Linked DNA regions of Arabidopsis thaliana. The protein of the gene in region 2 binds, or shares a complex with, the protein of the main gene of each other region. Each region holds a gene or a part of one and is shown on either strand. Other genes may lie near its edges.

What was found.
Region 1: AT1G15770 (region 2) and AT5G05140 share a complex: the UniProt entries of both Arabidopsis thaliana proteins name them as parts of the mediator complex.

What each region holds. Positions count from the first base shown.
Region 1 is NC_003076.8:1,516,499-1,524,540, reverse strand, and holds AT5G05140 (Transcription elongation factor (TFIIS) family protein), read right to left. Parts: upstream 4,837-8,042; 5' UTR 4,189-4,836; coding exon 3,727-4,188; intron 3,639-3,726; coding exon 3,570-3,638; intron 3,490-3,569; coding exon 3,407-3,489; intron 3,313-3,406; coding exon 3,260-3,312; intron 3,144-3,259; coding exon 2,994-3,143; intron 2,909-2,993; coding exon 2,616-2,908; intron 2,534-2,615; coding exon 2,452-2,533; intron 2,363-2,451; coding exon 2,244-2,362; 3' UTR 1,404-2,243; downstream 1-1,403. UniProt on the Arabidopsis thaliana protein: Component of the Mediator complex, a coactivator involved in the regulated transcription of nearly all RNA polymerase II-dependent genes.
Region 2 is NC_003070.9:5,424,453-5,431,572, forward strand, and holds AT1G15770 (mediator of RNA polymerase II transcription subunit), read right to left. Parts: upstream 3,829-7,120; 5' UTR 3,764-3,828; coding exon 3,677-3,763; intron 3,354-3,676; coding exon 2,844-3,353; intron 2,725-2,843; coding exon 2,440-2,724; 3' UTR 2,256-2,439; downstream 1-2,255. Other genes in the region: AT1G15757 (Molecular chaperone Hsp40/DnaJ family protein), read right to left, coding at 28-124; AT1G15760 (Sterile alpha motif (SAM) domain-containing protein), read left to right, coding at 1,262-1,870; AT1G15772 (mediator of RNA polymerase II transcription subunit), read right to left, coding at 4,249-4,482, 4,566-4,640, 4,733-4,780; NRB4 (mediator of RNA polymerase II transcription subunit 15a-like protein), read right to left, coding at 6,070-6,459, 6,554-6,760, 6,905-7,120. UniProt on the Arabidopsis thaliana protein: Component of the Mediator complex, a coactivator involved in the regulated transcription of nearly all RNA polymerase II-dependent genes.

The DNA.
Region 1 (8,042 bases), on a different chromosome or scaffold from region 2:
TTTTATAATTATATTATTTGTTAATGTATTTTATTTATCTCAAAAAGCTTATATAAAACCATTTTCTGAATTTCAATTCTAATTCGTAATCGTATATAAATAATGATTCTTATCCCATGTAATGATACTTTAATTTACGTTATAAATGATTACTTCAACCTAACGAAACACAATGGTGAATTATTTTTAATCAAAACCTAAGACTATCCAACAATGAACTCAATTCTTTCAAATTTCATTTATTTATGAGAAAGGTTTAAATTGCGCATAATTCTGATAATGTTTCCAGACTTTGTCCAATCGTAAATCAAATAAGACTCAACAATACTCAAATTAAACAAGTTGAGTTATTCGATTATATAGTATAATCAATTTTCAAAACCATGAAAATTTGATGAACGTTCTAAATGATGGATTTTTTTTTGTTTAGAACCGATACTCAACTATTTTCCCTTATTTCATTTGTCAACTCTTATTTCTTTATCTCACCGTTGATTGCGACGCAAGGAATTTTGTAACGATTAGCTGTCTATCTATCTAAAACTCCACATAAATTATAAAATGGTAACCTAAATACTTTGTGTCGGCAGCAGAACTGATGCTATTGTTGTTTTTTTGTCCATGTCAACTTCTCTCCAAAAACATGTCGATTCTCTGCATGGAAAAAAGATGCCTTCTTCTTTAGGGTCAATTAATGAAATAGTCACAATCTCTCGGATCTATATATTAGCATTTTTTCACATGCTTCACTACTTTTCAAGTCTTCCCAATTCCAACGACTGGGAACCAAATATCATTAATTAAATTAAGTGCATATTTTTCTATTTTTATTGAGTCATTAATCCTGCTAGAATGTTTCACATCAAAAATGAAGTGTAATCTAACAAAGTATGTAATGGATATAGGTCAATTTATTCATTGCATATTGATTATAAATGAGATTTTTTATATTCTTAAAATAGTATGAATTAGACATTTTGTAGTGATATTTCCAACAACAAAAAAAGATCTCATAATTTTGTTAAAAAAAAAAAAACTAAAGACATTTCGCTGCATCAATAGTAAGATTTAAGTTCTAGAGCTTTTGGAATTGCAGTTTTTTGTTTAGTTTAAAGTTTTGAGATTATGAGTTAATGTTTTAAATTTTGAAACTTACTAAATGTTAAATGTCATTTCAGTTTTTGTACACAGACAACAATATTTTTTGTATTTTCACATGCTCAACTTTTTTTTTCTCTCACATGCTAAAGTTTACAAAAATAACCAACACATCCATACGAATTTACCATCACGCCAAAAATCATTACGTTTGTTTTTGTCCAAAAGTGTTTGGGTGTACTTATTTAATCAAACTAAAAAGTGCATTTTCCTTTTCACGAAATAAAATCGTGACCATAAAACTAGATTTATCTCTATCCAACTGTTTTTCTTTCAATAGAAATGGAGTGAAAGATTAATAGAAGTTGTAGAAGTCCACGTGGTTCATGTGGTGAAATGCGTGAACGCGTAACGCCGAGATAATAACAACATTGAATAAAAAATACCAACACGCACAAAGACCACACTGCAACAACATTCCTATCCATCCACGTTATCTCCCACCCCCCACTACCTTCTCCTCTTTTCTTATCCACCCACCTTCCTTAAGCCTTTCCAATGCCATCTTATTTTATATACATAAGTAATAAGAAATGACAACATTCGGTCACAATCACATTCATTCATAACAATTGGATATCATTATATAAATATTTATTTATTTGGAAAAAAGTGTCATCATCTCTATATTGTGTCCCAAATCATTTCACATTACTATACAAAGTTAGGTGAAGAGCCGGTCAATTTCGAATGAGCTTTTCTACCCTCTCTTTTACTATTTTTATATGATATATATGTAAAAGGGACCTCTCTCCTTGTCCCAAAACCGAACATAACCCGACTAAACCGGGACTGTACCGAAAGTCTCAAGAATGTAGTAAAGAACACATAAAAGAAACAATAATTGGTATCCCTATCTTGCTGCAATTGGTGAATCCAAGACAGAACAAAACAGAGGAGTAAACAGTTTGTTCAAAGTAAAGTTATGTTGGATTCTGTTCCTTCTCCTCTGCTTGTTTCTGTCTCCAGCTTTGTGGAACTAGACTCTGTTTACCTTTATTGCACCAGAGATTGCGAGATATGTGTGGTAAGTATGGAGTAATATCTTTTGCCGAGAATTATTCACCATTTGAACAAAGCAGAAACTATTTTCTCCCATTAGCCCAATTCCTGTTGCTCATTCCAGGTCTCTTGAGTTGCGGTTTCTGAGCACTACCTTGCTTTGGGATCATCTCAAGTACTTGTATCGTTCGCTGCTTCTTGGCTGTGGCAAGATCACAAACATTTTTAAGTTCTTTTGTTTTCAAGAATGTAACAAAAAACTCGAAACAAAAGAAAGGAAATGAAACGAACCATTCTCGTGATGCTGGTAGCTTTCTTGAAGTTTCCTCTTTGCAAACTCAAACTTTGCGTCTGCATCAAGACCTTTAAGTTTCTGCAAGGGACAAGAGCAAAAACACCATCAATTCTACGTCCAAGAATAGGATATTAGACAAGAGCTTTGTCTCCACACTCACTTCTTGTTGAGGTCCAGGAGCTTTCCGCTTCTGTTCTGTAACAACCGGTTTCCTTTGGATCATGGGTTTTTCAGACTTGTGAACAGATACCGTTTCGTTCTTCATCCTTTGCTCTGTACTTTGCTTTACAGGTCTTCTAGTCCCATCAAAATCAGTAGCTGATGATGGCTTAATAGATCTAAAAGGAGCATCTTGTATCCTCATTTGTGTTCCCTCAGGTTTTCTCTTGGCGATATTTTGTGGCCTTCTTTCATGCTCTCGGCTTGTGTTGTGTTCTTCAGAGTTACGAGGATCTGAAACAAACATCCCCAAGAAAATCAATCAACACGTAGCTAAGAACATGTTCTCAAACAAACAAGACATAGTTTTAAAACTCACTTCCATCAAAGTCCAAGGAATCAAAGAAGTGTGAGATTTCAAATCCGTTTGGTTCAGGTGTAAAGATATCAACATCATATGGAAGCGATGGAAACGCCTCTTCTTCATCAAGGACAGACGGGTTTGCAGACTCTGGTGTACCTTCAGCACCTGTTTTAAACACAAAATTAGAACCAAAGACTATGGATCTAATTCAAGAAACCAAACGGTAAGACACGAAGCCAGTCATAAAAGATCGAAAAGCGAGACAGAGAAAGCGCAATTACCAGTGATTTCCTTTGTGGTATTCACCCATTGATCCACCAACTCCTTCCATTCTCTGCATAAACATATCAAAAACTCAAATGTGAGATTCAAAAGTGCAAAAGCATAGCAAATGTCAATCAAACTTGTGAAAGATCAAAAACTCATACGCGATAAGAGTCTTAGCGAGTTGTCGAATCTTATCAGAAGAATGTTTCCTGAGGCCATTAACAGCCTTTCCAATCTCAGTACTCTGCGAGAATAACCGCAAACCTTAAGAATCTCAAGGATCATCAACAACAACTTCATACACTATCCACCAAGATAACCAACCTTAAGAATATCCACATTCAAAGACATCAACTTAAGATGTCTTAAAGAATCGAGTAACACCGAGTTTGGCTGCAAGAGAATACAAAAAAGAACCAATCAGAAAACACAAAAAAAAAATCTTCACATTGATGAAATTTCAAGAACTTGAGAATCAAACCTCATCTTCTTTGTTGAGCAAGATCTCTTTGATCCTAGCAACCTCCTTAGAAACCACAGAAAACTCTTCAATCTCATCACTCAAAGCCTCAGCTTCATCAAATGTATAATTGCTAACAATCTGATTATTATCCCCTCTGCTACTATTAGCTTTGCTCTCTTTACTACCACCAGCAACCTCATAATCTTCATCAACCGCCGTACCACCACCACCATTTCCGGTGGTTCCACGGTTAGCCTCGTCGTCTCCGGGAACAGACAATTCAAGATGGTCGCATCCGACGCAACGATTCACTCTACAGGAGAATAAAAGCTCGGCGATTTTGTCTCTTCTGGATTTGAATTTGTTAGGACAATCAGTAGCAGCCACCATGATCGCATGATCGATGATCCCGAATATATCGGAATCTCCTCGCCGTCGGAAATATTCTCTCCAGCTATCTAATGAACCCGATGCTTTCATCGTTTCTCGATTCAACAAAATCGGAGTCTAATTAACTCAAGAATTTGATTTTTTCCCCAGAAAATTTGAAGAAGAAGCAAAATAGATTTCCAGAAGAAGAAGATTGGGATCGTTGAAGATTGAAGAATTCGAAAAGAGAAGATCAGAAAATATCGAATCTACGACAGAAGATTTACTTACCAAAAAAAGATCAATCAAACTTAAAGGTTGAGACTTTGAAGATTGTTTTGTTCTCAATCAAAATATGATCAAAAACGAAAAGGATTTGTGATCAAAAGAATCTATAGAGAGAGAGATAAACACAAAATCTGTTTGGTAAGTTTTTATTAATTTATTTTTTTTGGTACCTTTCCGAATCTGACAAGAAAACTTTCCCGGAAAGCCCAGAAAGGATTTTCCCGAGAAAAAAATGCACCGCAGCAAAGATGAGAAAGAAGGAGGAAACCCAAAAAAGCAAAAGAGAGAATACAGACAGAACATGAAACAGTTTTGGTTACGTTGTCTATCTAAAACCCAAGTGCTACTACGTTAAACACAGCTACAAATTCAATTCAACAAGAAACCTTTTTATTAATTCAGAAAGAGAAATAATGAAATTTATTTATTTCCTCTGATTGAAGTCTCTCTGTATATCTGTTTGGTAAAAGAGATTTTATTTTTATTTTAAGTTGGATTTTCTTTACGGCTTTCTTTTGACCTGATCGGTCTGTTTTGGCTTTTCATTATTATTATAAAAACACATTATTCTTTTTTTCCTCACACATGCGTTGTACTTGAACGACGACACAAGTTAAGTGATTACAAGGTCAAACTCTTTTTTTTTTTTTTGGGTCATAAATCTTTTTTACGTTGGAAAATGTCAAAAGTAAATTCTACTAAGAGTGTTTAGTTAGTTATACGGACTTTAATGAGAAGCTCTGAAGAAGAGATATTTATTTCCTAATGCTGCTGATCAAAAGCGTTTATCTTCTAGTCAAAGAGTGATATATTAGAATATTTGGTAAATCCGATTCAAAACAATAGTTTCATGTTTTAACAGTTAACACTATCATTTCATTTTATTTTGTTTTATAAGAAATTGGATTAGGTACTTTAATTTGTTCAGATTTGTAAGACAGAGAAACAAGTATTTCTTTGTTTACAATGTTTTAAAAATATCTAACAAAAAAGTTGTTTTATTTTTTTTGTATCCCTTTGTACTTTGGATTAGGTACAAAATGACTCACAATGTTTTAACCTCGTTACCCTCACAGCTTTTTCATTAATTCATCGACTATTTTTTCATAACCCATACTTGTTAAGGCCATTAGGGCATCTCCATCCATGAAAAACCCACAAAGTTTTTCAAACAAAAAAAATATTAATATTATATTATAATTTGATTATTTGATTAAAAAAATATTTTTGTTAAAAAATTAAACCAATAGTAAGATGATAATTGTCATGATGGGTTGTAGAGACTATCTCAGAGTTTCTCAAGTGAGAAACTTTCTACACTCTCTCTCCTTCATTTTCATTATTTTTATTTTTTTAATTGTGAGAAACTCTTATGAGATACTCCCAATAGAGATGGTCTTAGATATGTAGTTTATTTACAATTTATCAATTGTAAATAAAAGTTACAACTCTTCACTTATACTCATAATGTTCCGGTACAATCCAACCAAACCTTAACTTAGATCATATTTATTTTAGAGAATTTACCAAAAAAAGACATAGCATGATAGCATCATGTCATCAATCATCATACATTGTCTTATTTTTGTTGTTGTTGAAAAAAAAAAAAATCAACTGTTTTTCTTTGTATTTGCATTTTCGTTTATGTTTACATGTTCCAAAATGATACCACAATCATAACTGTTTTAATTCAAAGTAAGAACTTTGTTTTGTGTTTACAAAGTTATAAAATAAGTTGGACTATTAAACTTAGCTTGATTTGTTAGAGCAACAACAGAAAATAGAAGAAGAAAAGGAAGTTTCTGTTTGTGGAATGAGAAGCATGTATTAAATGTTGGTCAACAAAATCGACCCCTAAAAATATTATAATTTGATTTTATGTTAATACGTGACAAAACGAAGTCGTACGATTTGGGACGGTGGTGATTACCAATCAGAATTTACTCACCTTCAAACGCGTGAAAAACACTGGGACTCCTTTGAGTGCTAACCTCACGGGCTTGTCACAGCCACGTTTACGTGACAGACTTTGATTGGCCGACACGTCAGCAGATATAGTGGCTGCTTTACGGTGTTTTAGTGGACCTACTTGAAGAAAATGGTGCGTGTTTTGTATACAAGAGATAAGAAATCCATCTACCACGGACGGTCTCATTACAATTTTTTTATTATCTGAATAACCAATTATAGATATAACACCTAATGTATTTTGCTAGAAGTCGACAAAAAAAAATTAGACTGGAGTTGGAAAGAAAAATTAGAATTTTTTAGGCTCAAATTATTCAATATGCATATATTTATTTGAATCATTGTGTCATACTTGTTCTAGAACTTTAAGCTTATGAATGATGATTAAAGTTTATCTTCAACGAGTAGGCATTATTATTAGCTTCTTCTGCTACTCTAATGATTCTAAGAAAGCGTCGAGAAAGTTAATACAGAAGCAAAGAAAACTATTCGAACTGCGGAAGATAAAGAAAATAGGTGGATAGAAAAATTAACGGTTACTAGTAAGATTAAAAGAAAGGTCAATTACAGAAGATAAATAGGCAAGATTGAGATGATTATGATGAAAAAAAAAGAACCCTGCATATTTGAATTTGCTGTAGCAAAATTGTCTAAAGCTTTGTATTCTTGTAGTGTTTGAAATTTACTCTAATAAATATTTTTCATAGGTTTATGGGGAATTTAGCTAAATGATTATGAAATTTATAAGGAATAAGTCATTTTTCTTGTATTTTCGTTGAGATCTAAAGTGTTTGGAGACTTGTACGAGGTTATTCGAGATTATTTATCAAACAAATTAAGAGATAAAAGTATAAGGACGAGGAATTCAGAAATAAGAGTCAAATAAAAGTTATTTGATAGAAGAAGATGAGACTATATAAAAAAAGTAATTTATTAGTAATTCATACAAAAAATGGTAGGCATACATTTTATAATAAGTAATTACGTATCTCCAATTCAAGATACTCAAACACCGTTTGAGAGTATGGATAACGAGCAAAATGGAGATAACCATCAACCTCGTCTATACCAACCCCTATCAAACAAAAATTATGTAATAATCTTTTCTTTGATTAATATCATTCTTAATATTGTTAAAGATTTCGGATATTCGACTATGTGTACTTGGTTTTTTTCTTTTTGTTGTTGTTAAAAACTATGTGCACTTTGTTCCAAGATATGACCAAGCAAACTCAAATCTCTGTTGTCCACAACAACAACAACATATTATATGTGAGAAATTCGAATCAAATTTTTTGTTTTACCTGTTGAATCAATGCCACCAATATAAGAAAATATAATCCAAAATGCCATACCGGATTCAACATTATGAAACTGTTCTGTGTTCTGACCGATATAATTACTCTACTTTTATGACCTTTATTGATATTGCCACAGCTAGCGCAAAGCTGAGATGAGAAATATTTTAATCAAAATGTCGTGACTAAAGCAGAAAATTTAGAAGCAAATTTTAATTAGCGACGATTTCGTAAATTGCATGGCATAATTTAGTTTGGATTTATACGGTTTTCTTGTGTGTTGTATCGTTGACTATTATTACATTCATAATTTATTTATACGCTTTTTCTGACTTTTAACGATATCGAAAAGAGTAAATGCCCCTTTCGTATTTTGACGCTGTTTGATTCTTTTGACTTTTTGAAGGTTAG
Region 2 (7,120 bases):
AAAAATAACAGAATAATCAGCCGGTACCAGAAACGATATCAGATGTTGAACGACAATGAACATAAGATATAACAAAGAGAATGGTGAAAACAAATGCTATCAAATTCTTTTTGGTGATAGCCATTTTATGATATTTTCTGTTTACGATTTTTCTCTATACTCATGCCCATCACACATCTATATATACAACAGACATGTAAATAGGTATCTTTTCACACACACACAAAAAAAGTATCTTTTATGGTCAAAGATGAAAAAAAAAACATAATCTTTCAAGAATTTATTTCCATAAGTCAAAAGAAAAATAAAGAAAAGTAATTTCTCATTTAAGTAGGTTTTGAACATTAGTACTAAATAGCTTTTATTCTTTTTACACACAGTTGGGGGAAAATTTACTTTTTCCTGACTATAAATCTAAGAAAATTAATTGGAAGATTTTCTCCAGTTTCATCTCTGACCAATGTGCATACTGCATAGTGTTGTTACTAATAAGGGAGGAAATAGTTGGCCTATACCCTATTATTAATTGTGATATATTTTCCAATTTTTTTTTTTTTCCTATTATTGAGTATATGATATATTTTGTATCAGTTTTATGTAAATGACATGATCAGGAATCCCTTAAATTTCCAGTTTTTAATAGTAAAAAGTGTATTCTAATATTTACCCTCACTTAATTGTCTTATTTTCGAAGCGATGTTTAGTTTTTTAGTAAAACCAAAGCAAAGTAGATTCCAAAACACTGGTGTATTAGTACATAATAATACTACGTGTTAACTTTTTAGTTATAAAATACAAGAGTGACCCATACACAAAAAAAGTAAGATCCCACTGGGTTTTGCTCCTTTCCCACACACCGTGATTGATGGTCACTCTCCATTCTCCACACTCTCACACAATTTCTCGATATTCTCTACATATTACATACCCACCACTCCACTCCCATCTTTTCTTTTATTACTCACACAAGCATGGGTTTACTTTATCTGTAATATTACACAAATGTAATCCCCATTTCCTCGAATAAAATTTGAAAAAATGAATAACCCACTGATATTAAATCAATATTTTGTTCTGTGTGTTTTTCACTTTTGACCCTCTTATATTTTCACTTTAATCAGATATAGTCCCTCTTTACGTCTCAACTACCTTAACGACGAAGCCCGCTACTTGCACAAAAGTCAAAAAAGCCCCCCACTCACTTTTCCTCTATATATACATCATCTCCCACACAAACACAAACAAACATAAACCTTCTTCAATGGAAGATTGGTGGTTTTCATGGCTCTCTAGAACAAACCTTGAACCTTCTCTCATCCACGAATACGGCCTCTCCTTCTCTCAGAACGAGCTCGAACACGAAGACATTTCTTACTTCGACCACGAATTTCTCCAGAGCATGGGAATCTCTATCGCCAAACACCGTCTCGAGATTCTCAAACTCGCTCGTCGAGATCGCAAGAACTCTCCTCCTCTCACCTCTCGTTCCATCTCCAGAGTCGTGACTGCGATTAAGAAAACCAGGAAATGTTTATCCGATCACGTACGCGCCTGGATCCGCCGTGAAGAAGAGTCGGCGTCGTCTCGAGCTCTGGTGTTGGTGCCGAAGAAGACTAGCAACGGGATTGGGAAGTGGAGAGGTGGATTCCTGAAGAGGAACAAGAGATCTGTGATGCCGAGCAATGGAAATGGTGGATTGGAGAAGCAAGAGAGGTTGTTGTTGACCAATGGGACTCCTTGTAGAATCGATAGCTTCTCAAGTCCCATGGTTTTCGATTACAGTTTCAAGGATGAGAAACTTTACGCTCAAGATACTTATTTTGAAGATATCAAATGGGATTCAATGTTTCAGAATCTCAAACCTACTTAGAAAAATCTCTAAGTTCTGTTTTATGTTTTCTCTTTCAGCTTCTTCTTCGTTCTTTATATCAGAATTGATGGTGAGAGATGAGGTTTTAGGGTTCTTCCACCATGTTTTCTTGATTTTGTCTTTGTATGTGATTAGGCTAGTTAATTTTTGTTAGTTAACAATTGGAAAATAGAGTTGAGTGGTGGTGTCAGGTGTGTATGTGAGTGTGTGGGGTCATTGTAATGAGTCTGTCTCTCCAGTCTTTGCTTTTGGCCTAAGTCTCTGTTCCAGTCAAAACTTCTTTACAGCTTTTATCACTTTTTACTCTTTTCTCAAAAAATGCTCTGTTTACACACATAACCATGACGCTAAGCCTGCCGGAGTGATCTTACTCTTGAGGTAATCGGAAAGATCTTGAGCTCAGGACACTACACAGTCTACACTAGAGCACACAAAACATTGTGCTTCCAAATTTTATCTGTTGTGTGTGTGTCAATTTTCAGATATACCTAAGGGAAGTGTAACTGAAAACCATACCTCAGTTCTTGGCTTCTTGCCACCACAAGTCACAGTAGATTCCATATCTGATGTTACCAAACCAGCAAAATGCTTGTAGCTATTACCAACGCTTTCCTCCCAATGAAGCAACACTTGATGGCATTGGGGTTGTCTGACGCTTCCTTTTCATGGTCGCCATCTTGCGTCATGAAGTTTCTTTCTTGGAGATGGCACTTAGTCATTGCAACCAAGTCCACACCAAATGAAGCTCTTGAACCTTTGCCTGGTACTGAACCAGCAATCCTATCAACCATGCTTACAACAGATCTAATATCACATACTGCAGACGAAAGCGCTTGTGGTGAGATGGATTTCATCTGAAAACAACAGAAAGCAAACATCAAGATCAGAACAATGTTTCCACGGCAAATGAGGGATGGCAGCAATGACACTGCCCTGTTGCAATATACCCTTCAAAATTAGTAACGTTACTTACGGCTCTAATAAGGCGTTCAATAGGCAGCTCAGTAGCACTCGATTTTCCACAAGTACTTGTCAAAGGATTTATAATATTTCCATCAGGACTGGTAAGCTCCGGAAGGAGAGGAGAGGCAGAGATCCCTGGAGTGCCAATTTCAAGGGATTGAAGTACACCTTGCCTGATCTGTTGTACCCTTGACCCAGCACCCTGCATGCTCATTGATTGCATCTGCAGAGTTGTTTGGTCATCATGAGACTGATCTTGAACTGTCTGAGATAGTGGTTGCTGCATAGGCTGAATCTCAGATTTCGTAAGCTGCAGTTTCTGTACTGTCTTCCTCAGACTCTGCATATTTAAGAAATTCATAATGTTGTTCTTGCGATAATCCATACTATCCTTCAAGTCAGGTTTGATATTGCTCTTTGAAAGAGATAGGAAACGTAGCATTCCCTCCAACACTGTCTTGCCTCGTTTCAATTTCTCAAACTGATCTGATCTTTGTTTCTGATGCGAAAGAGAATCCTCCTAGAGAGAAAACGGAACGTATTCAGTAGAAAAGAAACAAACATATAGATGAACGTTAAAAGTTTACAACCTCTGTAGGTTTGGGAAGGAATATATCTGTCAGAAGGTTAACTTCTAGTGAACTATCTGTAAGTATAAGAGTCTGACGAACCTTTTACTTTGTTAAATGGGTAACAAGAATCCTAAGTTGTAGGACTTTCATTTGTAACAATGAACTGATCTTGCATTGAATTTGTAAAACTCTTCATAAAGTACTTAGTACTGTTCCAGAGGACGTACACGTGCAAACTAACTTCCTAGGAAGAATGAAAACTGTAACTTACTTGCTGCAACTTGGCTGCTACTCTCTGGTAGATTTCATTGAGGTCTCTTTGATGGATTTGATCTACAAAGAAAAGCAATATAATCATACATACGATTACTCATCATGGTGATATCATCTAGTAACAGAGAGATGATCCTGCTAGTAACAAAGGAATAATCTGGTTGTCGTAGTAATCTTTCAAGTAAGGCATGACATTGCTTCTTTGAAACAGATAGGAATTGTATCATTCTTCGCTCCAACATTGCCTTCAATCTCTCAAATTGCTTTAATCTCTGTTGATGGGTAAAAGAATTCTGCATGAATTCAATAAGAAACCAAACCCTACCCTACTAGTTGACGGAACACTAAAGCACCCACCAAAAACACACCTAATCTCCGAGAAATTAACATTTACAAAAAAAAAAAGGGTCTTTATTCATTTTTCGATCATAACTTGATAGGAGGAGCCTGGTAGAAACAGAGCACCGGAGTCAACAACATTGAGGATGAGAGTTCAAAACACATCAGAAGAGAGAAGACCAACATAAAAAGAGAGAGAGACAAAATATCTACAATGCATTTCCTTGATTATTATGAGACTGATCTTGAAGCTGCCTTTGCTGTACTGTCTTCCCAGCCGGTTCTTAGCGTAATTAAGAAATATATAATCCGTTTCTCATAATAGTCCCATCTACAATCCTTTAATATCGGCATGATATTTCTCTTTCGAAGAGATAGGACTTGGATCAATTGCTCTATGTTTGTCTTCATGCTTTGGAACTTGTCAAAGTGCTTTGATCTTTGTTGCTGCGGAAGCGATTCCTCCTGAAAAAAACAAACAAACTAGTATTACTACATCTATACAACTTAAGGCAGAGAGTTAATAGTTGACAGTAACTACATCTTACATGGTTCAACTTGTCTGCAAGTCTCTGGTAAACATCAGTCACATGTGGTAGATAACGCTCTCTCATGGATCTAAGCTGTATAAACAATTACACACCACAATGAATGATCCCGATGATGATTTAAGAAAGGAGTTTTATTATTATGATGATTATGACTTATGAGTTACCTTTTGGAAAACCTCCTCCCGCCAATCATCTCCATTTTCATTTTCCATTGTATCTACTATCTAGTGTTGCTAGCCAAGAAAAATAATTAAAAAGCGAGATTCATTCATCATCAGAAACTGTGTAAAAAAAAATACAAAAACCTAAAATTAGAGGTACACAAGTATCATCAATCCATAAAACTAGTTTCTTATGCAAAAGGTTTTGCTATCGACGAATCCATGGGTTTACTATGACACGTAATGAGATAGGTGACTCAAAATAAGGACCTTTTGGCGATGAATCTCCGAGACTTAGAACGGTCCGTTTGGATTTGGTTTTTCTCCAAACGTTCTTACGTTTCAATCTTTCTTTTAATAAGTGAAACGTAGCAATTAGGGTTAAGGAGAAGAATTAGAGATGATTGTTTTTGTTTTAATCATCTTTTGATTTTATAGAGAAACAAACAAGAGAGAGCTAAATACAAGGATTAAAAGGCTTCAACAACATTACAATATCAGGTTATTAAGCGAGGCCCAATGACCCAATAATAAGTACTTATCAGGCCCAAGTCTCTTCTGCAAATAATAAGTTTTTTGGAGTTTTTTTAAGTTTTCTATTTCACACAGTAAAGGCTAAAAATCGAGTAAAGAGACTTGTAGAAAAACCAGTGAAATCTCCGGCTATTTGTGTGACCAAAATGTTAATTATAGTCATTAACTAAATAAATCTCGTTCATGTACTAATTTGTATAGACAATTACACACCACACTGATCACTCCTTGTATCTTCTAACTTGATGACTTTATGATGATAAATCATCAATAATTACAATAAAAAAGTTAGCCATTTGGTATATACAAAAAAAAAAAAATGTTTCAAACAGCCATTTTATTGTGACAACTGAACAGAGTAAAGAAGTTGAAACTCTTCTGAACGATCTCAAAATGCGTATTACAACAAATCTCAAAATACAACATTCAGCAAGACCCCAAAAAAGGGGTAATTGCACTTCAGAATTAGAAGAAAATGACGAATATACTAACAAGATTCACAAAATACATACAATAAAGTTAAAATAATATTATTTAAATATATTCAATAATATAGCATAAGCTTTTGCAAACAGATAACAAAAAATCCCAATCACGTGTGTGGGAAAACAACTTATACTATACAACAAAAAGTGAGGAAAAAACTTTTTGGCTTTTTTTCTTTAGTTTTGACATGAACCTGCAAGTGAATCACAGAGCTGCTATTGAAGACGAGAGAGATCCGTCAGATTCAGGAAGCTGCTACATATTTCTCCCAAGTGCCGTATTTTGAGCTGAAAGTTCCACCGCCAAATTGCTGTGCGTACTCACAGATCACTGCCCGAGCACAGGCGTCCCATGTCTTGGCTATGTCTTTGAGCGACATCGGCTGTGACAAACTTCTTAGCAATATGTTGAACCTTGCCATAGCTTTGGACGACAGGTCCTCGTTTTCTTTGCTGTTCAAGAAACCAGACCGTGTTACGGTAAGAAGATAACGCAGTTTCTAATAAAGGGTTTCTAGTAGATGATTCTTGTGAAGATTTTAACTGTATCGTAGAAGTTTGCTCGACTCGGTACGGAAAATCTATGGTTCTATTTACTTGAGACTGAAGGATTTGCTTGTACCTGGTTTCGACCGGGAGTTTATCTAGAAGAGATGGAGAGCCATTGGGGTAGCTACAAGGAACCAGCAGACGCAATGGTTGAATAGGAGACTGTAATAGAAGCACAAAGCATATATTATAAAAAAGGATAAATGAAATATTTTGTTTCACAAAACGTTAATGTTAACGAGATGACCATGTTTACCATTTGTGTTGATGAGAGATGAGCCTTCAAGGCTGGGCTGAGAGAAACAGCTATAAACGAGAATCTAACTGTTGTTCCTTCACACCCTATGCTTGATATTGCAACCTCACTAGGATCAGCAGCATCTTCATCATCACTTATCTCAACAACTGTATCTATCAGCCGCTGGTTTATTTCCTTTATTTCCTCCAAAAGGGCATGCTCGGTCTGCAGTTCAAGATTGAGTCTTCAAAAAAAAAAGAATATCGAAACCTTGTGCTTCCAAATTTTCTTTGTTACGTGTGTGTGTGTGTGTGTGAGTGTGTGTCAATATTCAAATATAGCTAGGGGAAGTCTAACTGAGTATCATACCTCAGTTCTTGCCTTCTTGCCATCCGAAGTCGCAGTAGATTCTAGATCGGATGTTTCTGAACCAGCAAACTGCTTGTAGTTATCACCAACACTTCCTCCCAGTGAAGCAACGCTTAGTGGCATTGCGGTTGTGTGACGCTTCATTTTCTTAGTCGCCATCATTCCCTCTTGGGTCATGAAGTTTCTTGCTTGGAGACGGCACTTAGTCATTGCAAC